4 linked regions of the Oreochromis niloticus genome follow. The protein of the gene in region 4 purifies or fractionates together with the protein of the main gene of each other region. This does not show direct contact. Links are inferred from orthologs where the notes say so. Each region holds a gene or a part of one and is shown on either strand. Other genes may lie near its edges. The genes, in order: lamtor1, lamtor5, lamtor2 and slc38a9.

Region 1 (7,012 bases), on a different chromosome or scaffold from region 4:
TACAATCCATCATGTTTTGTTTTTTTATATTCAAGCAGAAAATTCTGTACAAAGGCATGAAGACACAATATCTGTCCCTACACACACTCGCACACACCCAACCACTCACTTTCATCTTTGAATATTACACTTGAACTTCTGGCCTGCTCGTTTATTTAATGCTAGATAAGCGCAGAGGACACGGCGCCGCCTGTAAACTCCAGAATTGTGACCCAAGAAAAGCTGCATCCTCACCCGCCAGCCAAGGAAAGGTTATTTAAGGTTTGGCCTCGACTGGAATAACAGGTTACTCCACTGTCACTGTCAAATGTCATTGAAATTCCCTCTAGCCTGGTTAGTGTGAGTTGTGTATGGTTGCCAGCATACTTCACTAAATGATAACGTTTTAATTTTGGCAGAAAAAGTGTGTCATTCCTTTTTTCTGGTGCTAATTTTAACATACTTCTTGCTGCTCAGGGATAAAGACTGAAGAATGTCTGGTGACATCAAGGATGTTAAACAGAGCTAAACATATATGAAGCGTAAAGATTAAATCATGTTTGGGGGTTTGTTTTGCTTTTTTTTACCCTGGTAAATAAAATATTAGACATGTGGTGCAATGATTATTTGCAATATTCCACGCCACAGTGATCCCTTATTTTCAGTGGAGATTTTATCAAATGTATTGTATTAACCAACAGCCAACAGCTTTGTGCCAAAAATCCAACAGCTTTATCCCAGGTGAGTCCAACATAGATATCAGCAAGGTGACAAGCTAGCTCTGATTCTTAGAAAACAAAGAAACTAAAAACACCCCTGGACAACTTTTTCTTTTTTTTTTTTAAGAGATCATCAAAAAGGTTGATTTCCACAGCTGGAGGCCTCGCTGATGCACATATGAGCTCAAACCCATCTTCCATTTGTCACTGAATTAATTACACTCGAGGACAGCCACAGGGTACGACCCTACATTGTCTCTGTCTTTGAAGCAGTTTAGAGCAGAAAGCAGGAGGACCAAAATGTTTTAATGACGGGTGGGGCTGGAGGTTGAGGATGCAGGAGTGACACGAAGAAAGTGGGACTGGAGCAACGATATGCAGGCCACAGTTGCAGAATCAGGGAATGGCAAACTGGACCACCAAGTCTTCTTTAGCATCCACTTTGATTTGAGAGATTGCACTGTAAGCATAGGCTGCTATCTTAGACACCTGCAAAGAAAAAAGATAAGTCAAATTCTAACTGCTCAGCTGTCTTTAAAATGACACGACTGGGGATTCTGGGCAGGAATCACACAGCCCCATTCAGAGTATGTTACACATATGGATACCTGCTGAACATCTGAGTATGGCACCAGGTCACTCGCAAGTACTTGGTGGGGCTGGCTGGTGAGGGAGGGGAGAGCGAGGGCTTTGTTTTGAGGCAGACTGGTGCTCAATACAGTCAGCTTTGTACTGAAGAGAGAAAAACATAGAGAAATTAGCTGTGCTGCTATTTAAGTTCTCTTAAACCAGTAGACTGTGCTTTGAGGAGCTAGAGTTTAGCCTGTGTTTTAGTCTAAACAAGGCTGCTCTATTTGGTAGAAATCAAACAACATGCTGAAGCACCAACCAAAATTATTATCAGCCAGTAAAGAAAACCCATCAAGCTATAAACCGTGTTTTTGCATACCTGTATTGTCGAGCTCTGTCCATGTACTCGTGCGGCTCCACCATGATGGCATCTGCTGCTGAGACATCAATGATGTTCCTGATGTACAGGGGATAACGGCATGTTTATTACACAGACACTCCTGCGTTATTGTCAGTGGCATGTCTACGTTTGCATTAAAGAGCGTCTTACTGTGCCGTCTTTGTCAGGATGGATGAAAGGAGGGCCTGTTCATTTGACAGTGCTGACGAGCCAGGGCCAGGGTTCCAGCTGGTCCCGCCATTTAGTGGTTTGCTGGGAGGGTTTGGGGAGATCAGCGGCTCTCTCTCCTGCTTAAAAAAAGTCATGAAATTTTACTTCTTTTTCCTTCTAAATCAAAGATAATTATGACAGTTGAGACCACTTTAAATTTAGCTAACCCTTTTTTGGGGGGGGGGTAGAAAGCCAAAAATATACATTAAATTTCATTATAGTAATGCAACAACGCACACAGTATGACTTCTGGAACTTGTGGTGCTCTTACAAATACTCCAAAAGTCATTTCTTCAGTCTAAAAGAAATATATGAGCACAACACAGGCAGGCAGAGAAAACTATAGATCTTCACTCTGTCCCCATTGCTCCTTTAAACTGCTATGAGGAAAGATGCATGAAGGAAGAACTGACTTATTTCTCGAAACTAAAAATAGCTGGGAATCTTGAGGGTCATATGACTACATGAAAATAAAATCCCAAATGTCCCTCACCTTGCTGTTTGTCCTAACACATTTCGCAACACTTTACTTTTCACCTCGCTTAAAAACCACTTTATATAAGAAAAGAACATAAACAAAGCCTTAAAACACATCTCTTTGCCTGTGGATCTGTTAAAGCTTTTCTAAAGCTTTCATCTTGATAAGTTAACTGGCTTGTACTTCATAAAAGGCCTACCCAAAGGCTAACTTACAATAGCAAGCTGCTAACCGCTAGAAAACGACCACTTGGTAACGTCGTCACGCATTACTCACGTGTACCGTCTGCGGGGAAATATGCCCAAAGGGATAATATACTATTAGGTACTCCACTTCTAAAATTGTCCAGCTTTCACATATCGGGTTTAGCCTGCTAACAGCTAACTACCTTGTTCCCGTCCTCGCTCTTGTTGTCGCTGCTGTAACAGCAACCCATGGCAACGTCCGACGGCCGACACTACACAACCCCGGCGTCCCTTCTCTCCGTCAGAAACCAGTCGTGCTGTTCTTCTCCAGCAAACATAAAACTTGTCTCCAGCGTGGTTGTATTATAACCTCATCTAAAGGTAAGGAGCTACTGTCAGAAGCAGCAGCGAGCTATCACATGACAGCAGCTCTAGCCCAACAACACAAGAACCACTTCCGGTTTTTGAGAAGCGGCGTCGGCCCTCGTCACGTGAAGAGGAAGCTTTGAATGTGAGCTGAATGAATGATAAATAGATAAATAAATAAGTAATATATTAATACTGATATAAGACATTTTTAGTATATGGCTTTTTGATGGTTTCATTATTTATTCATTGTTTACGTACTGTTTTTTGTAACAATGAAGATTCAATAAAGGTAGATAAGTTTAAATACCTGTGGTCAACCATCCAAATCAATGGACAGTGCACAAAAGAGGTGAAGAAGAGAGTGGAGCCAGGATGGAGTGGGTGAAGACGAGTGTCCTGAGTGATTTGTGCCAGATGGTAGTGAGACCTGCTATTGAGTAGGGAGCTGGAGGTGGCAGAGCTGCAGATGTTATTATTTTTTTAATTGGAAGTGAACAGGATGGGCATATCAGAAAGAAACCTCAGGTTGAACACTGGCTGAAATGCAGCCAAAAACCTTACAGAGTCACCACCATATTTTATAAACAGTTCATGTTGTACCTGCTTCCTGACCTGCTGATACACACTGACAATATTATGAAGCAAAAGGTTCATCCATTGTTTTGTTCTTTTCAGATACTGTTTCTCTGCTTTAATATTTTTTTTAGACCTGCCTTCTTTTATCCTCCACTTGTGCAGTTTCCTTAAAGTTGTTAAGGACTCGCTGGACACCCAGTTTTAAGCTAATATCTCTTTCGGAATCACCTGCAAAAATCATAATTTAAGCCCATCAAACTGTGTCAGTAGATTTAAGTTATTAAATGGGAACAATTATTTGTTTTTGCAACCAGCTGGCAGTGATTAGATGTCTAATGACTCTTTGCTAAATTGCCTGTTAAGTGTAGACACAACACTGGTTCATCTCTTAAGCTATAGGTGGCTTTTTTATGTTTGAATGATTCCTACGTCAGTATTAAGTGGCTTAAGAAACAGAACATTCCTCTGACAATGGTCAGGTACAAGGACTGTACTGAAGAAATAACAGGTCTCTCTTGGAAATGACAATTGTATCTTAGTGAGATTTTTACCTGGATAAATAAATGATAAATAAAAAAATTTAAAAGCGAAGGAAGTGAGTGAAAAAGCAGCATATATACAAAGAAAAACTCTGGAAGACTTTCAGAAAGACTGAAGAATTTTGCTCTAAAAGCCTACAATAAACATGAAGAAGTTGGGCTCTTTGGAAATAGAGCATTAGAAATATGGGTTTGCTGAAGACTATTACCCAGTTCTGTATATGTGGGCAGTAATTAGGAAGTTCATGTAACACACAGAACCAACAGGAGACAGTATAGGTTGGGGTCAATAAAGGGACTTCCCTGGATCCAAGCATGTTAAGTTGGACTTGATTATAGAGTATTACATTACTGAGCTGGTGGTAGACTTCCGCAGGCACAAACATCCTCCACTGCAACCACTGAACATCCAAGGTATGGACATTGAGACTGTGGACAGCTACAGGTACCTTGGTGTTCATCTGAACAATGAACTGGACTGGACTCATAACTCAGACGCCCTCTACAGGAAAGGGCAGAGCAGGCTGTACCTGCTGCGGAGACCCAGGTCGTTTGGAGTGGAGGGCCCACTCCTGAAGACCTTCTATGACTCTGTGGTGGCCTCAGCCATCTTTTATGGTGTGGTCTGCTGGGGCGGCAGCATCTCTGCTGGGGACAGGAAGAGACTGAACAGGCTGATCCGAAGGGCCAGCTCTGTTCTAGGATGCCCTCTGGACCTAGTGGAGGTGGTGAGTGACAGGAGAATGGTGGCTAAGCTGTCATCCCTGTTGGACAACATCTCCCACCCCATGCAGGAGACTCTGACAGCACTGAGCAGCTCATTCAGTGGCAGGCTGCAACACCCACAGTGTGGGACGGAGAGATTTCGCAGGTCTTTCCTCCCCACTGCTGTCAGACTCCACAACAAAGACTTTAACTGATCAAACACACACATCCACACATGTGCAATAACACTAAGTGCAATAATCTTTTCTGGCATCGTTGTATTTTTACTCAGTTGTATATAGCATTTGTATTCTATTTTTATCTTATTGTATATTTTATTCTATTTTATTCTACTGTATATAGTATTTTATTTTATTCTATTCTGTACAGTTGTGTACTGTATTTATTCTTATTGTATTCTAATTTTTGCTTCATAACTTTTGCACTGTCCACTTCCTGCTGTGACAAAACAAATTTCCCACGTGTGGGACTAATAAAGGTCATCTTATCTTATCTTATCTTATCTTATCTTATCTTATCTTATCTTATGAATCATCTTACAAGTATCCCACTTTGTTGTTCTGTATTGCCCTGAAGAGTACTTTTTTAATGTCCATAATAATCTATAGGCAAAGTAACAAAGCGCTGTGCCTCTGTCATTAATTCTCTACTCTGTATTGAGTGACTCTAACTTGTCTGAACACTGCATTTCTTTCTTTTTGCTTTGAAGTAAGATAGGAAATTAGGATAAACCAAACTACAAATATTTAAGCAAGTATGAACTGCTCCTGCGTTTACAATAGGCTACTGTAGCAAAGTCCAGGAGGATGGGGCAGGATAAGACATGTCATTGTACATATGGCAGACTCACTGGGAAAGATTAAAGGCTCTCTGATATACCCTGGGGTTGTGTGCGATGACAGGGTACCACACACATACAGCTTCTCAAACGCACGATAGTTACATTTTATTTCCAGCAATTCATTTCACAATAAGGAAAGCTCATGTCTTTTAGAGCAGACATAAAAACTGCTGCACTGTCACTGTTACCTTATTTGTTTGTTTGTTACTTAGACATACATTTCCAATTTTTTATATTTTGTAAAAACAAAGAAAGTATAAAATAAGAGCAATTAAAAAAGACTCAAACAAATAGCAGAATGGCATAAAAAGCAACAGTTTAAATTATATAAATAAATGAATAAATAAACACAGTGCAAGAAAATGGCCTGGATTCCAGACATATTTACACAGTTGTTCTTACTCTTATTTGAGTGTCACAGACACATTGCTGATGAAATTTTTACTTCAGTTTTACCAGGAACAGAAATAAAATGGTAATCTGGGAGCATCATCTGATTCCGGTGTGCACTTTTCATGGTCTACATACCACAAAAGTCACCATTTGGATAGACTTTCCATTCTTTTTAGTGCATTATTGTCAATACACATACGTTTGGAGGCTGGTGAATATTTCTTATAAGTTCAAATAATATTGCACAAGTTTATTCTTTCTGTCTTATGGCGCTGCACACAAATGTTTTTAACATTACTGACAACCCAAACTAAGGAAACAATCCGTACGCCCCCACTGACACTGCCGTGGAGACAGACAGCAGCAGTCTGATGGGGTGGGATGGTGACTGGGAGGCGCCTGGCCTCTCATTAACCCCCTGTTTCCTCCACACCTCTCCGTTTACACCTACATGCCGGTCAAGTCCAGACAGAAGAGCAGGAGCGCTAGACTGAAGACAAAACGATGCCTGTTTTTCTGCTCTCTTTCATTGCGCTCTTTGGAGTTTCTCACGCTTCTGACAGCGCGCCTCCGGAACCGTCGCTCTGGTTCAAACCCACTTTCCGCTCCGTGTGCAAACCCATACCGAGCACTATGTCTCTGTGCCACGGGATCGGTTACAGGAGCATGTGGATCCCAAACATGCTCGGCCATGATTCACTGAGGGAGGTCCAGCAGCAGTCTGCAGCCTGGCTGCCACTCATCTCCAAGCACTGCCACCGGGACACCAAGAAGTTTCTATGCTCGCTCTTCGCTCCGGTGTGTCTCCCGGAGGTCAGCGGGCCGGTCAGCCCCTGCAGGAACCTGTGCGAGGCCGTACGGGATGGCTGCGTGCCGGTGATGAGCGCCTTCGGCTTCCCCTGGCCTTATATGTTTAACTGCACCCGGTTCCCACACGGAACCGAGCTCTGCATCCCCGTATCCGAGGAGCAGGATGGGCGGGAAACAGAGGAGGCGAAGCACGAGGAGGTGCCCAAAGGTCAGTGCA
Region 2 (7,725 bases), on a different chromosome or scaffold from region 4:
ACAATTCTATTGTTGCCAGTAAATCTGTTTCATCTTCTTATATGGCAATAGATATAGAGTTTATCTTTTCATATACATAATTTTTACTTATTGTAATAGAGATACCCTCCCATGTTTGGACAGCGAAATCCATTTTATTTATTGCCTGTCATCTCCCTAACCCATTTACAAATGAATAGCATTCAGGGGGCTGAGATAATTTCCTCTGATTTTTCCAGTTAACTTAAAGCGGGGGAGGATATGATCTGTCATTAGTCATTTGTAATGAAATTTAACAATATTATCCAGAGAAGTGATCTGTTCAGTTTTCATGCACACAAAAAAACACAAGTTAAAATAAGTTAAAATATATATATATATATATATAAGTATATATATGTATGCATATATACATATATATATATATATGTGTGTATATATACTTCAGTTCAGTGCCCCATTCCACTTTCCATTTGGAAAGTGGAATGGCGCACTAGTATATTCAAATAATTTTTGTAAAAAACCATATATATACATACATATATATATATATATATATATATATATATATATATATACATATATATATGGTTTTTTACAAGTTGTATGTTGCAGAACAAAAAAAAAGATTTTCTGATAATGAAAATATAATGATAGAAACAGACATTTTAAATATTTTTATTGATTTTTTAAAAATGTTTTGAATATACTAGTGCCCCATTCCACTTTCCATTTGGAAATTGGAATGGGGCACTGAACTGAAGTAACAGTTACAGTTATAATAGACACAATGTAAAATGCACTTTCAGTATGACAACACACAGATTGATGAGTTGATTAAAATACTTCTCTAGTCTGATAAATCAAAAACCTTAACATTGAGTTGTTCCATTAGAAATTCCATCTTACCCCTGTGATAACGGCTCCTCTGCACCAGCTCCCAACGGACAACAGGAGGAAGGACAGCAGCACCTCCCTGAAACCCATGACAGCAACAGGAGAACTGGACTCTCTCAGCACCCCCAGCACCACACAACAACTGTGAACTGTCTCTGTGGCACGTCAAGCTGGTTCCCCGACTCTTCAGCCACTCCTCAACGTTTACACAACTCCTTAGAGAGGGCAGCCTCCCTTTCTCCTTCTCTTTATCCACCTGTGACCCCCCCACCCAACACTCTCCCCTCCCTCTCTTCTTTCCTCCCTCATGCCAGAAAAATCCCCCTTACACCCCTTCTGTCTGTCTACTCAGAAGCTCTGTCATCTCACCTATCCAGATGACAGCTTATGAAGACTCACTTTAGGGTTCAACTACATCGTCTCTGGACCGGGGCTGTAAGAGTTTCCACCAAGCTAACAAAAACAAAAGGACCAATTCAGTAGTTGATGAAATTTATACAAACTAAAATAAATGTGACACGTCTGTGGAAGAAAGGGCACAATCCTGAGCTATTTGTCAATCAGAAGTGATCAAGACAAAACAAATAAAAATCAAAGCCATCTAATGAGTTTACTGACATTACCACATTACTGACTTGTGGGTTGGTCTTCTGGTAAAACACAGAAACAGGAACGTGATATTTCTTATTTATCACATTACTGTATGGTGTGTGTCATGATGCTATGTGTTTTAAAGAGGTTTAAATTAATGATTAAAACCTCTCACCACGCCTCACTGAGACGTCTTACGAAGCTACAGTGCCACTAAAGCGATACGAGAATAGGAATAATGAGTCTTAATGTCTCTGAATTATGGTAGTCATGATCGCAGTGATACATCAACTCTGAGTCAGGGTCTATTTCAGATCCAGCTCATTTGCAGATTTACTGCAGCTCTAATGTATAGGTCACGAATAACTGGATTTATACCAACCTCTGGTTGTACAAGATTAAAGTGTGTGTGTGTGTGTGTGTGTGTGTGTGTGTGTGTGTGTGTGTGTGTGTGTGTAGGCCTGTTCTGCTATCTTTGGAGGACAAATTTTAATTCCAGTGAGAATTCAGTAAAGGTTAGGGTGACTGGCTTTGCTGTGACGGCGAAGGTTAGGGCAATGGGCTTAAGGATTTAGTGTTTTATTGACTGTCCTCACGAAGATAGCAGGAGTTACTGTGTGTATGTGATGTGTACGTGATACATAAGCATACATATGTGGCATATAAAGCAGGCTGAAAATTGTTCCATATGCACAGACTTATACTTGTACATGCGTGTGTGAGTACGTGACTGCTTGGACAGTGATGAGCAGCTGGTTGTCAGAGAAAACGGGCAGGCTGTGATTTAAGTTGCGAAAAGAGAAATACGAGCGAGAGAAGACGAGAGCCAAAGACAGAAAAAAATTAGAGGGAAGGAGGGAGGGGGAGAGCACCCCTTGGGTTACTCAGCAGGACATTACCCTGCTGCTGCGCAGGTGATGGATTCCTCCAATGCAGTGGCCATATAATTACATTCACCCATTTTTGCCCTGTCAGCAGGAGCACTGAAGCCAAGCCATCCTGGGACAGGCAGCAGAAATCATGTGGAGGTGTGCCCAGAGGCCTCACACTAACTTCTAAAGAAATTACATTAACAAAATCTGCCATCAAGAGGGTACAAGAAACAAGATTTCTGTTTTAAACCCAAAGTATTATTGCTATATTTTACATGCAATAAAAGCCATTGTTACCGTGCTTGTATTTATTATGCTGAGTCATTCTGTTATGTTACATGGATGGTGGAGAGGACTGTGTTTGGAGAGGTGATTTTACTTCTCAGTACCGAGGAGCACCTTTGACACTAGAGTTGTTTTAGGCAACCTCAGCTTATTTGTGGGTGTCGAGTGACTGCTCCATAGGAATACATTGGGAAGTGGATAATCAATAAATATATTCAGAAGAAAAACTAAACTAATCTGATTTTATATTTATGCACCTCTGAGTACCAAAATCAATTTCTAGTGGAGGTGGGCATGAAGAGAGTAACAGATCAATGATGAATTATAGAGCAGCAAGGTTTCATTACATAACCTATCTAGTGTAGAAAATTACTTCAGTGAACGAGGACCTCGGCACACGGAAGACTGTACTGAATATTATACTCATGAATCAAACACTTTTCGCAGAGTGGGGAATATGAAATCTCATCATGATATAAATGTCATGGTCCTGTGTTTTGTCCATTGTTTGTTTTTTGTTCAGTATTTGGGTTTTGAATTTTTCCTTTTTATATTTGAGTCTGGAATTTTTTTTTTTATATATCTATATTTTTTACTGTAATTCTCCAGGGTTTTTGTTTGTTTGTTTGTTTGTTTGTTTATTCATGTTATGCAAAGATTGTTTTTTCTTTTGTTTCAGGCTCCTGTTTAGTTTTCATGGTGTTTTGGATGCCTTTTAAAATGGGTAACAAACCTACTGCTTGTTTTGGATCTTTATTTAGCTTCAGTTCCTAGTTTGAGTTATTTCTCATGCGTTAAGTTTTTCCCTCCCTCCTCCAGTGTTCCCTTCTCTTTGTCTTCATGTTTAATATGAGCTTTCCTGTTTCTGTGTTTATTTGTAGCCTTTGGACTATTTCCTGCTTTAGTGTGATTTATTTCCCTCTGATTTCCTGTTTTTGAATCTTATTTTCTGTCTGTTGATTACTTTCATCTTTGTCATGTTGGTGTTTTGTTCCCTGTTCATGTGCTTTTGTTGTCTTCAGGTCTCCTTGTATTCTTTGGACTTTGTGCTTTTGGACCTATTATCAGCTTTCTATTGAGTCCTCTGTATTGTGTGTCCTGCATTCTGGCTTCATTGCACACAAAACGGTGACATACACTCCCTGGCCACTTCATTAAATATGCAAGTTTGATGACTCTTTATTTATTTAGGCATGTAGACAGTGGAGATTACATTTTGAAATTCAAACTGGGTATCAGAATGGAGAACAAAGATGATTAAAGTGACTTTGAATGTAGCATAGTTTTTGGTGCCAGAAGAGCTGTTCTGAGTTTTTCAGAAACTACTGATCTACGGGGATTTTCCTGCACAACCATCTCTAGGGTGTAAATAAATGGTAAATGTTAAATGGCCTGTATTTGTATAGCGCTTTACTAGTCCCTAAGGACCCCAAAGCACTTTACACATCCAGTCATCCACCCATTCACGCACACATTCACACACTTGCTAATACAAGTTAGAAAGATGCATTAGCAAATATAGATCTATATAGTCACAAACTCTGTGCTTTATATGAACGTAAGAACGGCCTAAACATTGCATATATTATGAGTTAGCTAATATGGAAGTTAACCCCATAGAAAACAGAAAAGGCAAATGCAAGCAGGCAATAGATTTAAAACTGGGGAGTGGGAATCATCATTTTAAATGTCAGAAATAAATTTGTATTTGTAATTGATTTTTTAAATCCATTTAGTGATGTCTCTTTTATAAATTGCATTTTCAAAAAAGATTTTGAAAAATTTGATTTTAAATTTGGCATTAAAAAATGTTTTTTAAAATTAAGTTTTTATTTGTTAGTTTAATGCCATTTCACTTTATATTTATTTATGATTAGTCCTTTTATTTTCGATTAAATTATCAAATAATTATTGACTTTATTAACGCCTGAATGTCCAATAAATGAATGAGGGAATGTATTTTAATGCATCATTCATCATTAAATCACGAAACGCTTTATTTCAACGCTTTATTTCATGACTCACTTGGTCCTACATACATGACAATATTTTAAGTCTGTTGTATATTTCCGCGCTTCGCATATTTTGGTCCTCATATGGACCCTTAGTTCATGTGACAGTCAGCTGACTCTACCCGGAAACGTTGAGGTAGCAGACAACAACAAAAATACAGCTTCATTGAGCAAACTTCGATTTAAGTTATTCGCGATTGATAACAATGGAGTCGACCCTCGAACAGCATCTCGATGATACGTAAGTTAAAACCACTCTAGCACTGAGTATATGTATTACGTTTTTGTGACCTTTAAAGCGACTTTCGCTCCTTCTGTGTGTTTGTTTGTGGCAGCATGAAGAATCCAGCAGTGGTTGGTGTGCTCTGCACGGATCAACAAGGACACAACCTGGGCTGTAAGTGAGGAAATCTCAAACTAGTTCACGTTAAACTGGCCTTTTACTTGTCAAAGTGCACTGGTGTCGCTGCTCAGATGCTCAAAGTTACGGGTTATTTAGCCATAAGTCATTACGCTTTGGATGGGAGAGAGTACCGAGTGGTGTTGTTTTCACGAAAACATTAAGTTGTTATTGGTTAATACAGGGATACAAATAAGCATTTAAAGTAATACATAAGACAATATGAAATAGATCCAAGGGCAAAAGGAAGAATTCAAATAAACAAAGCAAAAATACAAGTATTAATTAAAAAAAATCCACGTTAAGCTCCTTCATAATAAAAAAAGGTTGTGGGCATTTCTTTGGAAATGTGGGGATTTTTTTTTTTAACCTGCAATCTGTTAATTGTTGAAGATCAACTGCCATACTAAAATTTCTACCTAAAGCATTCATCATAATGGGTTAGGGACATTTGTCACTGCATGAAACAGAAACATACACTTATATCATTATGAAGGGAAAAATATTCAAAAAGAATAGAAGCTTCTCAACTTAAAATCGTAGTAAAACTATATTATATACTGATCTGAGTATTAGCACTGTACACACTGTATTTGTAGTCAAACGTAATCATTAGTTTTAGAATAATAAGTTATCAGTTGTTATTAAACCATCTACTACTAATACATTATTCTAATACAATAATAAAATACAATAATTAAAAAAAACTTTAAGTATGTTGATGGAGAATTAATTTTCATTTTGCATATAAGTCAAGTGAAAAAGAGTTAAGCACATCTTTGCTGCTTCCACAGAAATTAAGAGAGTAAGAAGCAGCCAAATGTTAATGAAAGACGATTAATTAAGAAAGCTGAAATTTTGGGAATTTGGTCTGCAGTATTCAGGTGTGTGTTAACACACGATGCCACAATCTTCCCATGAGTGGATGTCCCATGGTAAATATGTTAAATGTCAAACATCATGACAGTACAATTAGAAGAAAGCTGAACGAGATGGCTGCAGTGTGCTCCACCGAGTCCCGTGAAAACGTTCTTTTTTTACATAACCTGCTCCTATGCTTGCTCTATCAAGGATTAATAAATGTTTTAGTGATCCCTTGATTAACTTTGATGTAGCTCCTGTAAAAATCATCCAAACTTGGGTACAAATGTTTCAGACGGTATTTTTCAAATGTACAGTGGTCCCTCGTTTTATCGCGGGGGTTACGTTCTAAAAATAACCCGCGATAGGTGAAATCCATGAAGTAGCCAACTTTATTTTTTACAATTATTATAGATGTTTTAAGGCTGTAAAACCCCTCACTACACACTTTATACACTTTTCTCAGACAGGCATGAACATTTTCACACTTTTCTCTCTTTTTTTTGTTTTTTTGTGTTTAAATACTCTCAAAGTTCAAACATTTGTAGAAAAATAAGTCCGGTATTATAGAATGAAACCACAGGTGCCTTTGACGGTGCAAAACGTTTCGTCGACATTGTTGTGTTTGTTGGGGAGAAAACGTACAAACATACAGTACAGCACTTCCGAGTCACACTGCTAGCGATTGAAGATTTATGTAAATTTGACAAGCTGAATGCATTCTGTACTGTACAGGAGACCTGGCACGGAGGAGATTGATTGACAATGGTCTACAGATGATCAGGACACAGAACACAATGCGCTGTAAAAAAAAAAAAAAAGAAGAAAGCATGCAAAATTGCACAAAAAAAAAAATCCCCAAAACAGCAAAGCCGCGAAAGGTGAACCGTGTTATAAATGTAAACATTTTACTAGGTTTTCCTCTGATATAAAAAATTGCTGCTCTTTAATAACAAATTGTATATCGTGTATGTTTCATTCAAGAACATAATTAGCATATTGATAGTGGTATAACTCAGCTGGAAGGGTTATCACTTACACCAGATTATGTGCTGCTTTATCAGCATTTGTGGATTTTAGTACATTTCACCATCAGACTTTCATATCATTGAAATACAAGTAGACTCTCTACTCACAGGCTCACTTTTCACTGTGATGGAATGTCCACTTTGTAATAGTTGTGTGTATTTGAAGTATATGCTTCAAAACAAACAAAAAAACTTCATTAAAATATTATGAATAAAATCTTACTGGCCAAAAAATTTTGCTGTCTGACTCTCTGACAGCTTTCTGTATTTATTTGACTTCTTCCTACGATTTAGTTGAGTAGATTCACAGCACTCTCATGTCTGCATAGTAAATATGAACCTAGAGCCAGCGGCCACTTAACTTAGCATACAGACTGTCTGTCCTAACGTAACAAAATCTACAGTCAAATCCAACTAATTATCCACTTAATGCTGTATTCTGTTCATTTTTGTTCATCTTACAAAAACTGAAGTGCAGAAACAGCAAATTGTGTTTTCCAGGGTTTTGTGTATCTTGATCTGACTTCTTGACCAGGTGCAGAAACTTCCTGGATTGTTGCTAACACTAGGCCTGGAAACACCGTGAAGTTAGTGTGCTTGTCCGAAACCGTGGATTTGTTCCTTCAGGGATAGCCTGGTCTTCCTTATCAACAAAGAAATGTGTTAAAATAAAAAAAAATGTTGGTTTGACTCCACAGCTAGAAGCTAGACAGCATGAGTTTGTTAGATGCATGATGACCTCAGAGGGAAATTAATCAACACTGGTTTGAGTGGTTTTTTTGAAAAAGTCTTTTATTTCC
Region 3 (7,386 bases), on a different chromosome or scaffold from region 4:
AAGGCCACAGACTGACTGATCTTGATAGGTCTTTAAATGTTTGTACAGATTGTGGTGTTTGAGAAGGTGTTCCCTAAAATCCAAGCAGTCATCTGAACAGATTGTTCTCTTCATAAAAACAGGGTTAAAACTGATAAGATTACGGGGCATTTTAGTGCAGATCGAGGATTTGAGTAACTCCAGTGAAGGTAGTGTTTGCAAAGTTTAATGAAAAGCGATACAAGTCTTTTGTTCAGAGAGGGAGGTGGCTGATGACTAAACTTATCACTGACTGGGTGTAGTGCTGTTGACCGAGCTTACTGAGCAGATCTGTTGATAATGATCACCCACGCTTTGAAAATATCGAACTATTTACTGACCTTTTGCACTGTAAGTGAGTCCCTCTATATGGTCTTGGCTGCTTAAATGATCTTTAAATAGATATCTGGCAGTTCAAAGCATGTTGTTTTAAAGACATGTTTATTCAGTAAGATTGAATGACTAAAATCAGTATCTTCAGTGAGAATATACAGAGTAAATTGTCCATAGCAAAAGCAAAATTCTAACAGGAAAAAAAACAAGAATGTTGAAGATCAGGGTGAAAATGATGTCGTAGCTATTTGGGCAGAGAAGAAAAATACAATAAATGTCAGCTCTTACAGGTTTCAGAGAGAACTTGTACCAATAAAATTAAGACCTTATGGTAAAGGTCGCTGTAGTGTGGCAGACTCGTTAGGTTGGCCTTGATTTAGAGTTGATGTTGTAGGAAAGTTGTTCTGACTGGACTCGACTGTTTATTCTTTCAGTTTAATCATCCTTTCTTTGTTCTGTTGATAGGAAAATGAACCCAAGAACAACTTGATTAGGTAAAATGTGTAGTAGCAGAACATGGGCAGGCTTTCTTTGTTCTTCAGATCAGGTGTAGAAGGTCACTACTGTGACAGGAACACCCAAGAATACTTCACCGGTAGAAGCTCGGTTCCTGTCCTCCAAGAAGAGAAATAATGTGTTACTAAAGACATTCAGAGTGATCCCAGTGTTTGTAATTTTCCATGAATATGCAGAAATCCAAACTTTTAGCAGACACTGATTCTGAGAGCACTGTTGATGCTGACCAACCCAAGACTCGTATATTGCTGGATGCAAGCCAAGTCATACAGATTCAAGGAGCAGGTACCAGCTGGACCTCTAATGTGTATTATTATTTAAATCAGGAAAAGAAAAATGTTATGTATATACCAAGATTTTTGTAATCTTATCAGTGTTAGACATGAAATTGTTAGAATCAAGGCTCTACATGTCAAAGTGAGTAATAAATAGGCAAATTAAGGGTCTCTTTAATATTGTAATATTGGTAAACATGGGATAGCAAGCGTGGTAAAAAAAATGCTTAAAATCTGTTATGGGGCATATTTTACAAGTGTGTAACAGGACACTGAAAAGGAAAACAGAGAAAACGGTTAAAACGCCATAAACACATACACATTTATGAGGGTCAAAGACAGCATAAAGGATATTACTGGATAGGACTACTGATGGTCTTCTAATTTTGTTTTCTTTGAAAATTGAATTGAGGTATTCAGTCTAGTGTCAGGGGGACGGTTCATGGGGCAAATGACAGGATACCCTTGGGCAGATTGCAAAGCTCATCAAATAAAAAAACCCACAATTTTCCATGTGTTTTTTCACAAATTTGCATCTGATCTGAAATCTGATATTTTGTGATATTTATATTTATCAGAATATCTGATATTTTGTTTAAAATGTGTTTTAAAAAATTGTATTAAAAAAATTAAAAAATAATTTTCTTAGTGATTTTGCTCCCTCACGACGTCCATCCACTCACTCCCTTTCTCCCAGGCCTTTTTTTAACCTTCACTGACCCTGATGCATGCGTTGTGGTCTGTGTGTGGTATTTACAGTTTTTTGTAATTGGTTTGGCGCAGTTTTCACAAGCAATTGGTACATTTTCAAAACTCTTCGTACTTATATCACAACAGATCATCAAAAGTGCACCTTTTTCAAACATTTCAGCATATTTCCAATTGTGTTAGTACAATACACATAATGACAAAATATCCTTTTCACTACACAAAATAAGTGTTTCATCTAAATAAATGTTTCGTTCACAGTTACTGCCTTTCATAATGTTATCACTACAAAATTTTTGATTTGCATCTCTTATCATTCAGTTTAATACATTTGTCTGTCATTCAATTCAACTGATCTTAATGTTTAATCAATGAATCATTCATTATGTCCATGGATTTTCAACTTGACTGATTGTTGTCTGGTCATTTGTAAGTTACACATGGCTGCAAGAGCTTTCAATCTAGAAATACTAATTGCTAATTGTTTCCCCCCTGATGATCACAATTAGTTACCATATAAGTAGAACTGTGTTTGAGACTTTGCACTGTTCAAATATGGAGCAGGATAGACTCGTAGGGAGAGGAAACCTTCATCGAAGAGGTGGTGGTGCTCCTCGACAGAGAGGTGGTCTTCAGAGAAATGTAGGCAGAAGACAACGCACCATCATCTCTAATGAAGTCCGGGCCATCATTGTTGACCATGTGGTTAACAGAGGCTTTACCATGGCTGAGGCTGCCAGGGTGGTACAGCCTAATTTACAAAGGTCAACTGTCAGCTCTATCATCCAAACTTTTCGCCAAGAAAACCGGTATGTCTGCTATAGCAACTTCACTTCTAAAAAATAGTACCCTATTGTATAGATGAACAACATGTAATTGTCAGTTTACAGTAATGTAATTTGTAATACTTCAATATTGACAGTATATGATTGTCAGAATTAACAGGAGACAACCTGGTGGTGGTCGCCCACGTGTTTTGACTGACCAGCAGGAGTTGGCTGTGGTGGAAATGGTCAGGGCAAGGAATGACATACGGCTGTCTGAAATCAAACAGGCTGTTGAGAACAGCAATGACACCTTTGCCAATGTGCCATCAATTAGCCTTCCAACGATTGCCCGGCTTTTGAAGAAGCACCAGGTTTCCATGAAACAAATTTACTTGGTTCCTTTTGAGAGGAACAATGTCCGGGTGAAACAACTGCGTTCAGAATATATTCAGGTACAACACTAAACTGGCATGCAATTACTGTAACAGGACGCTGCTGTGAATCAGCACAAGTATATTTTCATTGATGAGGCCGGTTTCAATCTGGCAAAAACTAGATGCAGAGGACGTAACCTTATTGGACAAAGGGCTACCATCCAAGTCCCTGGACAACATGGGGGAAACATCTCAATGTGTGCAGCTATATCTGAAGATGGTGTGGTAGGCTGTAGACCAGTTCTAGGGTCATACAACACTGAACACCTGAGAGTGTGTGGGTTTTTTTTTTTTTTTGTTTTGTTTTTGTTTTTTGTTTTTTTTTTAATGAACTGGAGCAGGCCTGTCAGGGAGAAGACATCGTCTATGTTGTTGTGTGGGACAATGTCAGCTTCCACCATGCACAGCTGGTTCAGGAATGGCTTCAAACACATCCTCGCTTCATGACCCTCTATCTTCCACCATATTCCCCTTTCCTCAACCCAATTAAGGAATTCTTCTCTACATGGAGGTGGAAGGTGTATGATCGCCATCCCCATGAGCATGTCTCCCTTCTTCATGTGTGAAGCTTGTGGTGATATAACTGCTGAGCAATGTCAAGCCTGGATTCGTCATGCCAGGACATTTTTCCCACGGTGCCTGAACAACGAAGACATCCACTGTGATGTTGATGAAAATTTATGGCCCAATGTTAATGACCGGCTTGATTAATTGTGTAAAAGTGATAAGAATAAAATAACATAAAAATATATTATGCTTATGTAAATGACTTGTTGTTTTTCTCCCTTTTTCGTGTGTGTGTGTCTGTGTGTATGTATATGCGTGTGTGTGTATATATATATATATATATATATATATATATATATTTTTTATTTTTTTTTATGTCTGAACATAAGTATAATATTTGCTGTGTACAGTTTTACAGTTCAGTTACACTCATTCATCACCAAGGACAATTTGAATCGCTTACCTTGTATTATTTGCTCCTGAATGAAGTGATTGGTAAAAGTACTAAGTTGAAAAAAGAGCTTACTGTTTTGTTTGGGTGATTAAAGCAAATGTTCTCAAAATATATCACAGTGATCATGTGTTCTGATACAATGATTACGTGGAATGTAAATATGTGCAAATGCAATGAAATCATGACATCAGATTTGAAAGAATAACTAGTGGTGTTACAAATGTGAGTTTTGTACTGAGAGATTTAAAAATGCACACTTTAGTTATGAAAATGGTGCCAAACCAATTTTAAAAAAAAACTGTATAAAAGAATTTAGGGGTGAAATAAGGTTTTGAAATACCTACATTTCCCGTGATGCATTGCGATCGGACCCGGAAATGAAAACCGAATCAGCTGACTTGGTTGTGTGTTTCTGAGCAGTTTGGGCACTTTAAAGCTCCTCGTCGCGTCCCGTAAACTGAATAAGTGTTATTATATTTGATCTCTTATATCGGAGGGTGAACAGCCATGTTACGGCCGAAGGCGCTGACGCAGGTTCTCAGCCAGGCGAACACAAACGGAGTCCAGAGCACTCTGTGAGTACGGCGAGCTAGCCGCAAGCTAGCCACATGCTAACTGCTGCTGGAGTTTCAGCGGTGCATTTTTTGACGATTACATATAAATTTAAAGGCAATACACATGTTAAGTCTTCTGAATATTCTCTAAAACTGAATATAACCCCTGCGGGACGAATAAAATGTTATTATATCAAACAGTGTGTATCTTGCATAGAGGAGCTGCTGATGTTTCACAACCAGCACAGTCTGTTTGGAAGTGTTCAACACAAAATTCAAGTTACTTTATTATATAGTCAGTGTGTCTGATCATTATCTCAGTCTCAGTATAATGTCCCAAATAATTGATATAGGTTCATGTCAGGCATTTCCCCCCACAGGGGTTTAATTTCCTTAAGCATAAAATAAACAGTTGTTTGTCAAATTTCCAAAAATAAGTAGGTAAACAATGTTGTCCTAATTTTATATCAAAATAATATACAATTACAAACTACAATAACTGTGTTTATGTAATGGTATATTCCACCAAAGAGGAAAAAGGGCATCAGATATGTACTAAAACGATTTTTTTGTGTGTAAGATAATACAGACTGTGACTATATGTTGATCAGTTGTGTTTACGCGAGTTGGTGTCACCAAAATTCCTCTTTGAAAAAGAAAAAGAAAATCACACCTTTAGAATCAACAACTCGTGCTATTAAAATTGTGCAAGTAGTCATCACTATTTTCTGTCATGAGTTAGTATATGACACCACTTATATATGCTTTTAAAGGGAATAATAATAATTTAAAAAAAACCTTTTGCCACTGCAGGGCTTCTTTATCCTTCAAGCTCCCGGACCTCTACCAGAGGCCTGGGAGCTTTTAGGGTCCTGCACAGTATCTTTGCTGCTCCTAGGACTGTGCTCCTCTGGACAGAGATCTCCGATGTTGTTTCTGGGATCTGCTGGAGCCACTCGCCTAATCGCACCGAGTGCTCTGTTACCACTGGGACCACTGTACATATGGTGTTTTTGTCCTGACTTTCACAGTAGTCCTAAACTACTTAAACAGACTTGCCTAGTAAAATGGTGTAGTAAGAAATCCTATACAAATAAAATACATTTTCGTGTAGTATACACCTTAGTTAGAGTATATATTATGTTTAGTTGATAACTTTGTCTGTGCTCTGAAAGTTATTATATTAATTTAATATTAATCTGCTGGTTATGTGGTTTCTCACCAGCTTACTGAATAATGAAGGCTCACTCCTGGCGTACTCTGGGTACGGGGACACCGACGCTCGAGTGACAGCTGCTATCGCCAGCAACATCTGGGCAGCTTATGACAAGAACGGCCATCAAGCCTTTAATGAAGACAAACTCAAATTCATTCTCATGGATTGTATGGTAAGACATGCTGTTCCCCCATCTTTTATTACTTTTTTTTTCAGGTATATGTGAAAGATTTGTGTGATGTGGGAAAAAGTGGAGCCATCATTAAGTAATAAACTGAGATACTGTGGTCTTCTTGCCTTTAACATTGTCGTTCTCAGGAGGGAAGAGTGGCCATTACTCGTGTCGCCAACCTGCTGCTGTGCATGTACGCCAAAGAAACGGTGGGCTTCGGGATGCTTAAAGCCAAGGTGAGAGTTTAAACTCCTGCCTTTTCATGAGATAATGTTTCATATTCTGAATGTGGATCATCAACAACCGTTACTGTTTCTATTAATGATTTAGGGCCAGGTTTGAAAATACTGGAAATTTACTCATATAAAGTAAAAGTTCTCTTTGTTGTCAATTTGTGAGTTGTTTTTTTAAGTTAAAAAAAAAAAAAGAAATTTAATTAATTTACAATATTTATCAAATCCATAAGTAGTTAATTATATTATTAAGCATCTGAGACAATAACTGATTTCCCATCATGTTTTTTAACTATTTTAAGTGGACTTTACATGCACACTAAGTATTCTAGTCAAATCTAAATGGACAGGAAAAATAGAAACCTTAACATTTTGAATTTGGCAGCCGGCCGGTGTCTGTGACGCAATTGAATCAACAGTTTAATATACTGATTCTGTAACTGACAGTTATTGCCTATCATGCTTTTCGAAAGCCTGTGAAATGTCACTAAATACTTTAATTTTCTCCGACTGGCAGGTTTAAATTCAGTTTACTGTAAAGTTTTAAAAAAATCTTCTTAAATCAGCGTAAACATTGTAATGGTAATAAGCAGCTACTGAAAGTATTAACCTTCTGCTATTGTCAGTGCCTGTGATTGAATATGAATGATCGCTGTACTTTTATGTCGCTTTAAATCATATAAAAGCACTCACATGCAAAAACCAAATAAAGAATAAAGACTCTTATTTTGAGCCTCCAGACCAGCTGAGAATGGATTTAATATTTAAACAGCTGAGGGTAAAGTGTGGCTCATTATTTGTTTGCACATAAATACAAGGAAACAATGAGGATTTTTATTTATTTTTTTTTTAGCTTTTTGTGTTTTTAATTTTACCTCCACTTTACTTCAGAGTTCTTTCACGGAGGCAGAGGATTTCTGCTAATGAAGGAAGTTCAGCAGTTGGATGTAATTTGGCAAAACATGCTTTTAGTTTAACAAACGTCTGACTCAGAAGTAACAGTGAACTAGTCCTTCTTATGAGGAGTTCAGTATGACTGAGCTTTGTTTTTGTTTGTTTTTTTAAGACTCTGTGTCCGTCTTTTTGAATGTGCATCCAGTTTTTCTTTGCCACTTTTCCCAGTCAGCATACCCTTCAGCTAATCTGCTGACACAGCCTCCGGAGGCTAACTAGTCTTGTGTTGTATTCAGGACGTCAAG
Region 4 (7,685 bases):
TCACACGAAATCTTGCAAATCTGCAAAAAAGAAGGATAGATCCCAGTAGGAGACCAAAAATACAATCTTTGTGCTTTTTGAGAAGATAGTTTGTTTTCATGAGAAAAAATTTAGTATCAAATATCTTGCACACAGAAGTTTATTTACCACTGTCAAACAAGGTTTAAATGTTTCAGTGTTTAAGAATATAGATGACTGGAAATGGGAGTAATTTCAGCTTAAAAGCAAGACTCAGCACCACATTGACAGATAAGAATCCATAAAGTATCATGGTGTTTTTGAGTCTTTGTGTCAGAAGGCTGAAAAGACCAAAATACAACTCTGGGCTCAGATGCAGACTTGAAACAACTCTCGTTGATGCAAAAACTTTATTGAACCATTTGACTTTCACAAACCAGCTTACCAATAGAGAGAGCAGCATAAATTTTGATGGTCCAGGAATGGCAGTTGTATTTGTAGTATGAAAGTTTGGAAGAGGAGATTCCTTACTTGTGAGCCGAGGCAAGACATTTGCAGGAGGTGGTAGCCAAGTAGTAGCTTCTCTCCTCCTGTTATCCCCCCAAAACCCCACCCCGTTAGATACTGTGTCTTCTTCCAGACAACAACAAAAAAAACAACAACACTAAAATCAGCAAAAATGATTTAAACATTAAAAACAAAGAAAGAATAATATAGTATCCGCAATTGCACTAAAGAGTAAAACAGCGAAATGTGGATTATTAAACATTAGGTCTCTTCTAAGTCCCCATTAATACATAAATTAATAATTTCTCAACAAATTGATTTACTCTGCCTTACAGGAACCTGGTTGAAGAACGAGGATTATGTTAGTTTAAATAAATCAACACCCCTGAGTTATAGTAATTGTCAGAATCACAGACCGAGGAGGGGGTGTGACAGTAATCTTCCACTCCAGGTTATTAATCAACTAAAGCCTCGCCCATCCTAACTGGAAAACATATTTTCTCACATGAGTATTTTTCCAGCCCAAATAAAGATTTTCCAAATTAGTGCAACGACATTTCTTCTCCAGCTTGCTGTTATCTGCTTTTAACGTGTGCATTTGTGAGTTGTACAAGTGTGTCAAGCATCTTTCATTTGTTTCCTTCTTTTTCAGAGAAGCCATAGTGTCCAAAGTCATATGCAGTGAGGATGTAACACTGTTAACAAGATAATGGACCTATGTGGGATTAAAGTTTAGCTAGTTGCTCTGCATTGGATGAAGGAATCCCTTCCTAAAGCATGGTTACAGACTTGGATCAGTCTAGTGTCTATTGTTATATAAGGATTTATTCTAAAATAAAATGAGTAGTCAGACAAAATACGGTTAAATGTTCAGTTTCTATGCAATATGGTAAATGTACTGGTCACTACAAGTGAAAAATCAGAGCATTTTCAGCTCTGCCACCTCCAGCTTGGGCTCCTTTCTTGTTGTTAGTGCCCCTGTCTTCAAACTATACATCATATCAGGTCTCACTATCATCTTGTAAACATTCCCTTTCATTTTTGCTGCTCTTAACCTTCTGTCACAAATTAGACTTTGGCATTTGTCTCTGTCCACGCCACTACAACACGCTCTTCCCGACTTCTTTTGTCTGTTGCTTTGGATGGTTGACACACAATATTTAAACTCATCCCTCTTTACTACTTCTGCTCCTTGTAGCTTCCTTCTCATTCACACACACATTTTTTATTTTGCTTCTACTGCCTTTCATTCCTCTTCTCTCTAGAGTATGCTTCTTCCTCCTCGAGGCTGTCTTCATTGTGTTCACATTAGAGATCACAATATAAACTGCAAACATCACAGTACATGGAGAATCCTGTATGACCTCATCTGTCAACCCATCCATCAAACCCTCCAGAAGGGGCTCAGAGAAGTTCCCTGTAATCCCACCCCCACCTTGAGCTCACCTGTTATTCCTACTGCACACGTCACCACCGCCTTGCCTGTCCTTTTATGGCTGTCCTATGTATGTCCTGAACCACCTGCCACTCATGACTTCCTCATACAGCATCATAATTCCTATCTTGGCATGATATACTTTCTCTAGATCAGTAGTGTCCAAACCCAGGGCTCGAGGGCCGGTGTCCTGCAGGGTTTAGATGTGTCCTGGATCCATCACAGCTGATTTGAATGGCTAAATTACCTCCTCAACATGTCTTGAAGTTCTCCAGATGCCTGGTAATGAACTAATCATGTGATTCAGGTGTGTAGACCCAGGGTGAGATCTAAACCCTGCAGGACACCGGCTCTTGAGGCCTGGAGTTGGCCAAACCAGCTCTAGATTCTACAGGGTGGGCCATTTATATGGATACACCGTAATAACATGGGAATGGTTGGTGATATTTAAGTCCTGTTTGTGGCACATTAGTATATGTGAGGGGGCAAACTCCTCAAGATGGGTGGTGACCATGGTGGGCATTTAGAAGTCGGCCATCTTGGATACAACTTTTGTTTTTTCAATAGGAAGAGGGCCATGTGACACATCAAACTTATTGGTAATGTCACAAGAAAAACAATGGTGTGCTTGGTTTCAACGTAACTTTATTCTTTCATGAGTTATTTACAAGTTTCTCTTTGTTCACAGCCATTGGCATGTCGAAGAGGTTAACACGTGAGGAGCGGATCGGAATTGTGTTGATATCTGGTGAACGCAGTAACCGGGTCATTGCAGCAGATTTCAATGCAAGACACCCTACGAGACCACCCATCTCCCATGCTACAGTTAGCAAACTGCTTGCTAAGTTACGTGAAACTGGTTCAGTGTTGGATTTGTCAAAATGTGGACGCAAGAAAACTGTCACTAATGAAGAAACATCAGTGGCTGTCCTAGCTTCATTCAGCAAGAGCCCACAGCATAGCACTCGCTGCATGTCACTGGAGAGTGGCATTAGTCGAACATCCCTTCAGCGGATATTAGCTACTCACAAATGGCACCCTTACAAACTCCAGCTACTGCAGCATCTCAACGAGGATGACCCAGATTGGCGCACAGAATTTGCAGAATGGGCAAAATAAAAATTGGAACAGGACCCTCAGTTCATGCAGAAGATTTTGTTCAGTGATGAGGCAAACTTTTATGTGAATGGTGAAGTTAACAAACAAAACCACTGCTATTGGTCTGACACTAACCCACATTGTATGGATCCCTCCAAGACTGTTGGAACAACAAAAGTGATGGTTTGGTGTGGCATATAGGGTACAACGATAGTGGGTCCATTCTTCATCAATGGAAACCTCAAGGCCACTGGATATTTGAAATTGCTACATGATGATGTGTTTCCCTCTTTATGCACTGAAGCTGGCACATTCCCAGAGTTTTTCCAGCAAGATGGTGCACCACCACATTATGAGTGCCAGGTCCGAGCATTCCTAGATGAACAGTTTCCTGGAAAGTGGATTGGTCGTCGTGGGCCAGTTGAATGGCCCCCAAGGTCTCCCGATCTGACCCCCTTAGACTTTTATCTTTGGGGTCATCTGAAGGCAATTGTCTATGGTGTGAAGATACGAGATGTGCAGCACCTGAAACTACGGAAACTGGATGCCTGTGCTGGCATTTCTCCTGCGGTGTTGCTATCAGTGTGTGAAGAGTGGGAGAAGAGGGTTGCATTGACAATCTAGCACAATGGGCAGCACATTGAACACATTTTATAAGTGGTCAGAAACTTGTAAATAACTCATGAAAGAATAAAGTTACGTTGAAACCAAGCACACCATTGTTTTTCTTGTGACATTACCAATAAGTTTGATGTGTCACATGGCCCTCTTCCTATTGAAAAAACAAAAGTTGTATCCAAGATGGCCGACTTCTAAATGGCCACCATGGTCACCACCCATCTTGAGGAGTTTGCCCCCTCACACATACTAATGTGCCACAAACAGGACTTTAATATCACCAACCATTCCCATGTTATTACGGTGTATCCATATAAATGGCCCACCCTGTACTGTCTGCTGCCCTCCCTCCTGGACAGCTCCATACCTCCACAGGTATGTCATCTGGACTAACCACCTTCCCAGCTGCTCTCATTTCAACCTTAATCCTTGGCACTTTTTTTTAACATTCAATTATACTTCCTGGGTGATTTGTTTTACCTGTCCTCCCACCTGTTGCCTGTTCCCTTGCCATCCTCTGTCAACTCTGCCCCTTGTCCTTTGTTTGTCCTGCCACATGATTGTGTCTTCCCTCTCAGTTTTCCTCCTTTAAGATTTGTCATTTTTGGTTTTCTTGTTTCCCTCTGGGGCTGTAACCAGGAAGCAGATTCCACATTGAATTAATTGAACTTACTCTGATCAGCTGTTCTGGAACAGGAAACAGTGATAGGTACATGATGCTCATGGAGTGTGTAGCACATTGCCCTTATTGTGTCGACACTGTGTTGACATGTTGCTTAATGGCTCATTTATTCCGATTTTTTGATACCAAATACACATAATACAATATGTCAAATGATGTAAAATGCAGAATTTACAAAAACATGTTTGCAAGGAAGTATAAGTAAAAAAAAAAAAAAGAGAAAATCAAAGTGAAAATTTTGTTGCTAGGAAATATAAGTGCTTGTGGCATTGGGCGTACTTGTGTATGTGAGGGGAAAATGCAGGGTTAAATTAACCCAGACTGGAGAAAATGTCCCTTTTCTCATTTTCTCTTTTCATTGTACAGTGGGTGATGGCGAGCTCCTCTCAGCATGAATGGAAATACGTTGAAAGTTGCACTTCCCGATAATAACAATTCTCACCGCTGTACGACACATCAGCTGAATAGGTAACTTTTGAATAGGTGATTTTTCTTTCAGCTACACACCCACCTATACAGGGTTTCGCTCTTTATGCTTGATGCACGCACCAATCACTATGAACCTTAGAGTTGCCAACGTCAAAGTTAACCAGGAGCTGATCTACATAGGTTTTCTTAGGGTGGCATGGAAATCAAATGGGGTGGCCATTTGTCATTTTACAAATATGCAGGTGTTATATTCTGTAATATGCATTAGAAAAGTAAAGACACACACACACACACACACACACACACACACACACACACACACACACACACACACACACCAATAAGGCCGCCCTTTAGTTTACCTCCCCTGTTTCCGAGTCTTGCATTTGGGTTCTACTCCACCTGCCACACAGCGAGCCTTGACAGCTTTCCACCATCCCTCCTTCTCTGTTTTCTTATTATATTCTTAATCATTCTAACCTGATGCACATCCTTTCCATCTCGATTCACCATGTAGTTTCCTGGGGCAGTGTCAAAATGAGACATTGTCCTGGCCTCAGACAAATCTGACCAAAATCAAGTTGACTGTTGCGCAACTGTTGCGACAACAATTATTTGCAGTCACTGGCCATTAACTTCTAAAGAGCTGTCATGCTCAAACCTTAAATGGCCCTATTCTCATAGACAACAACTGGAAGCAATACAGACAGTTTGAGTTGCTTGATATTATCTATTAAACTGAGAATCAGATTTAATTACTAATTACACCTTCACTCAACTGATGGTGCCTGAATGCCGACTTTAGCCCTTTGTTCTTGCTGGGCATAACCAGGCTTGGCAAGCTGTTTGAAAAACTTAAAGGCAAACATTAAATGGTTTATGTCGCATTAGAAGTCCAGAAATGTGGTACACCACTGTAGAAAATATACAGTGGCGACCCCTAACGGCAGCAGGTAGAAGGGGAAGAGGAAGGTGGAGGGCGGCATAGCGTTCGAAGAGTATTGTCCGGCCTAAATACATACGAAGAAGAAGAGGAACAGGAAGAAAAGCAACATCGTCACCAAGCCTAGTACGAAGACTGCTGACTATTTGTAAATTAAGTTCTTCTTCCTCTACGCCGTTGCTCAGCTCATTAGTCGTGTACAAATATTATTCAATTATTATTTCTTATCGGAATAATATTTAGCTGATGTCACCGGTGGTGTTAGACTTAAAAATGAATAACAACTGTGTTGATATTTGATTTCACTTCAACTTTCGAGGTGAAACAATGGCAGAGACAGCAGAACTGAGATGAGCTGAAGACCCGAGGAGAGGACACTTCACTGCAGACTGTGAGTTCTACAAAGAAGCCATGCAAGCCTAGCATGACATCCTTTTTTTTTTTTTTTTTTTTTTTTTTTTAAAAAAAAGGAGTTTAGATATGAAACGTTGCCATTCAACTACCAGCCTTTGCTCTCGTTAAGGTGTTTAAAGTGTCTGAGCTTTGTTGTACGTGACTTTGAGTCTAAGAATCTTTAAAACTTCTTTACACTTAGTACGTATCTGTGTTGAAATGTGGTTACAGAAAGAATTCACTATGGATTATTTGTGCCAAAACCTCAGACAGTCTCAGTATCGACTTGTTACTTTGTCCAGAGAAATATTTGTGTTGTCACGTGCATGGCGGAACTATGCCTATAAGGTTAAGTCGCTAAAGGCAGAACAAAAAGCTCTTCCTAAGAAAATGTGAAATAAGTGTGGCGATTTCTTGCATATAATGCAAAACAGAAATTGTACAATTCTAAAAAGCTTGAAAATTGATATTTGGTGTGAAAACACATTCCAAAGCTCCTCTTTGGATGTCGGCTGCCTTTTATTCCATTCTGTTAAGACGATCCTGCACCGCTTCTGTGAGGTCCGTGCTCTGGGAATACCATCAGATGGCAATATTTGTGGTTCCAAGGAGACTTTCTGTCCTCTAGAAGTTTATGTGAATTCTCTTTCTGCTGAGTTTATGAGCTCACTCACTCGTTTTGTGTAAAGTAAAAAATAATTGTGTTTGTAAGGGTAGCATAGTGGTTAGCATTGTTGTCATTCAGCAAAAAGGTCCTGAGTTTGAATCCACCATCTGGTAGAAACCTTTTCATGTTGGTGTGAGTTCTATTTTTGTAACCTGGCTTCCTCCCACAGGCCAAAGACGCAGAATGGGTGGAAGTCTGTTTTGTAAATCGTGATCATACTATATTTCAGAATCGAGGATTACCTGTGAAATTAAATCTCAGCCATTCTCGCTGGTTACAGGTTATTAGGTTATTAGCTAATGAGAGTGTGGATTAATACTTCTTCCTCCAAGAAAGCTCATCTTGAAACATCAAACATTGAACTTGAGAAACCAATAGTTGATGTCCATCTCTTATACTCTATGGTTTGGGATCATTGTGATATTTGAAAAATAAAGCTGCAGCTCTAGAGCTTCCACTTATGTTTTACAGTTGGCTGTGCATTCTTTGTTGTACTGCTCTCCTGACCTCCTCCATGCATATTTATGATGATATAAACCAGAAACCTGAAATTTGGATTTGTCAACCCATAAGACCTGTTGTCACTTATTTTTCATGCAGGTTTTGTGTATGTTGGCATACCTCAGCCTTTACTCCTAGTTTCTCTTCCTTAGGAATGGCTTCTTAACAACGATCCTTCCACTGGCTCATCCCTTGAGTTAGGTGCTTTTTTAATGGGATGATTCATAGGACAGTGTTAAGTGGCTTAACAAACAATAAAAAAGACATTCCTCTGAGAAAGGCTAGGTGCACGAATTTAATTAAAAGTGAGTGAAATAGCAGCCAACACCAGAAGAGAAACTTTGAAAGACTTTCAGAAAGGCTGGGGAGCTATTGCTCAAAGAAAGTCTGGATCATTGGGAGCAAAATATGAAGAATTGTGGAGTGGCTGAGAAGTTTTATATAGCTGTTGTAT

Evidence for each region.
Region 1: the proteins of slc38a9 (region 4) and lamtor1 purify together in Homo sapiens (co-immunoprecipitation; 5 studies listed by BioGRID and IntAct, with this or other methods). This does not show direct contact. The link is inferred for Oreochromis niloticus from reciprocal best matches to the Homo sapiens genes SLC38A9 and LAMTOR1.
Region 2: the proteins of slc38a9 (region 4) and lamtor5 purify together in Homo sapiens (co-immunoprecipitation; 5 studies listed by BioGRID and IntAct, with this or other methods). This does not show direct contact. The link is inferred for Oreochromis niloticus from reciprocal best matches to the Homo sapiens genes SLC38A9 and LAMTOR5.
Region 3: the proteins of slc38a9 (region 4) and lamtor2 purify together in Homo sapiens (co-immunoprecipitation; 5 studies listed by BioGRID and IntAct, with this or other methods). This does not show direct contact. The link is inferred for Oreochromis niloticus from reciprocal best matches to the Homo sapiens genes SLC38A9 and LAMTOR2.

The regions. Positions count from the first base shown.
Region 1 is NC_031979.2:11,637,441-11,644,452, forward strand, and holds the start of lamtor1 (ragulator complex protein LAMTOR1), read right to left. Parts: upstream 3,015-7,012; 5' UTR 2,793-3,014; coding exon 2,745-2,792; intron 1,959-2,744; coding exon 1,819-1,958; intron 1,726-1,818; coding exon 1,648-1,725; intron 1,431-1,647; coding exon 1,307-1,430; intron 1,188-1,306; coding exon 1,095-1,187; 3' UTR 1-1,094. Other genes in the region: sfrp2l (secreted frizzled-related protein 2-like), read left to right, coding at 6,490-7,003. UniProt on the Homo sapiens protein: Key component of the Ragulator complex, a multiprotein complex involved in amino acid sensing and activation of mTORC1, a signaling complex promoting cell growth in response to growth factors, energy levels, and amino acids.
Region 2 is NC_031984.2:21,035,268-21,042,992, forward strand, and holds the start of lamtor5 (ragulator complex protein LAMTOR5), read left to right. Parts: upstream 1-4,717; 5' UTR 4,718-4,842; coding exon 4,843-4,877; intron 4,878-4,971; coding exon 4,972-5,033; intron 5,034-7,725. Other genes in the region: prok1 (prokineticin-1), read right to left, coding at 889-966. UniProt on the Homo sapiens protein: As part of the Ragulator complex it is involved in amino acid sensing and activation of mTORC1, a signaling complex promoting cell growth in response to growth factors, energy levels, and amino acids.
Region 3 is NC_031976.2:35,941,681-35,949,066, forward strand, and holds the start of lamtor2 (ragulator complex protein LAMTOR2), read left to right. Parts: upstream 1-4,367; 5' UTR 4,368-4,519; coding exon 4,520-4,587; intron 4,588-5,791; coding exon 5,792-5,954; intron 5,955-6,100; coding exon 6,101-6,190; intron 6,191-7,386. UniProt on the Homo sapiens protein: As part of the Ragulator complex it is involved in amino acid sensing and activation of mTORC1, a signaling complex promoting cell growth in response to growth factors, energy levels, and amino acids.
Region 4 is NC_031972.2:10,544,830-10,552,514, forward strand, and holds the start of slc38a9 (neutral amino acid transporter 9), read left to right. Parts: upstream 1-4,664; 5' UTR 4,665-4,766; intron 4,767-5,665; exon of another isoform or gene 5,666-5,989; 5' UTR 5,990-6,061; intron 6,062-7,685.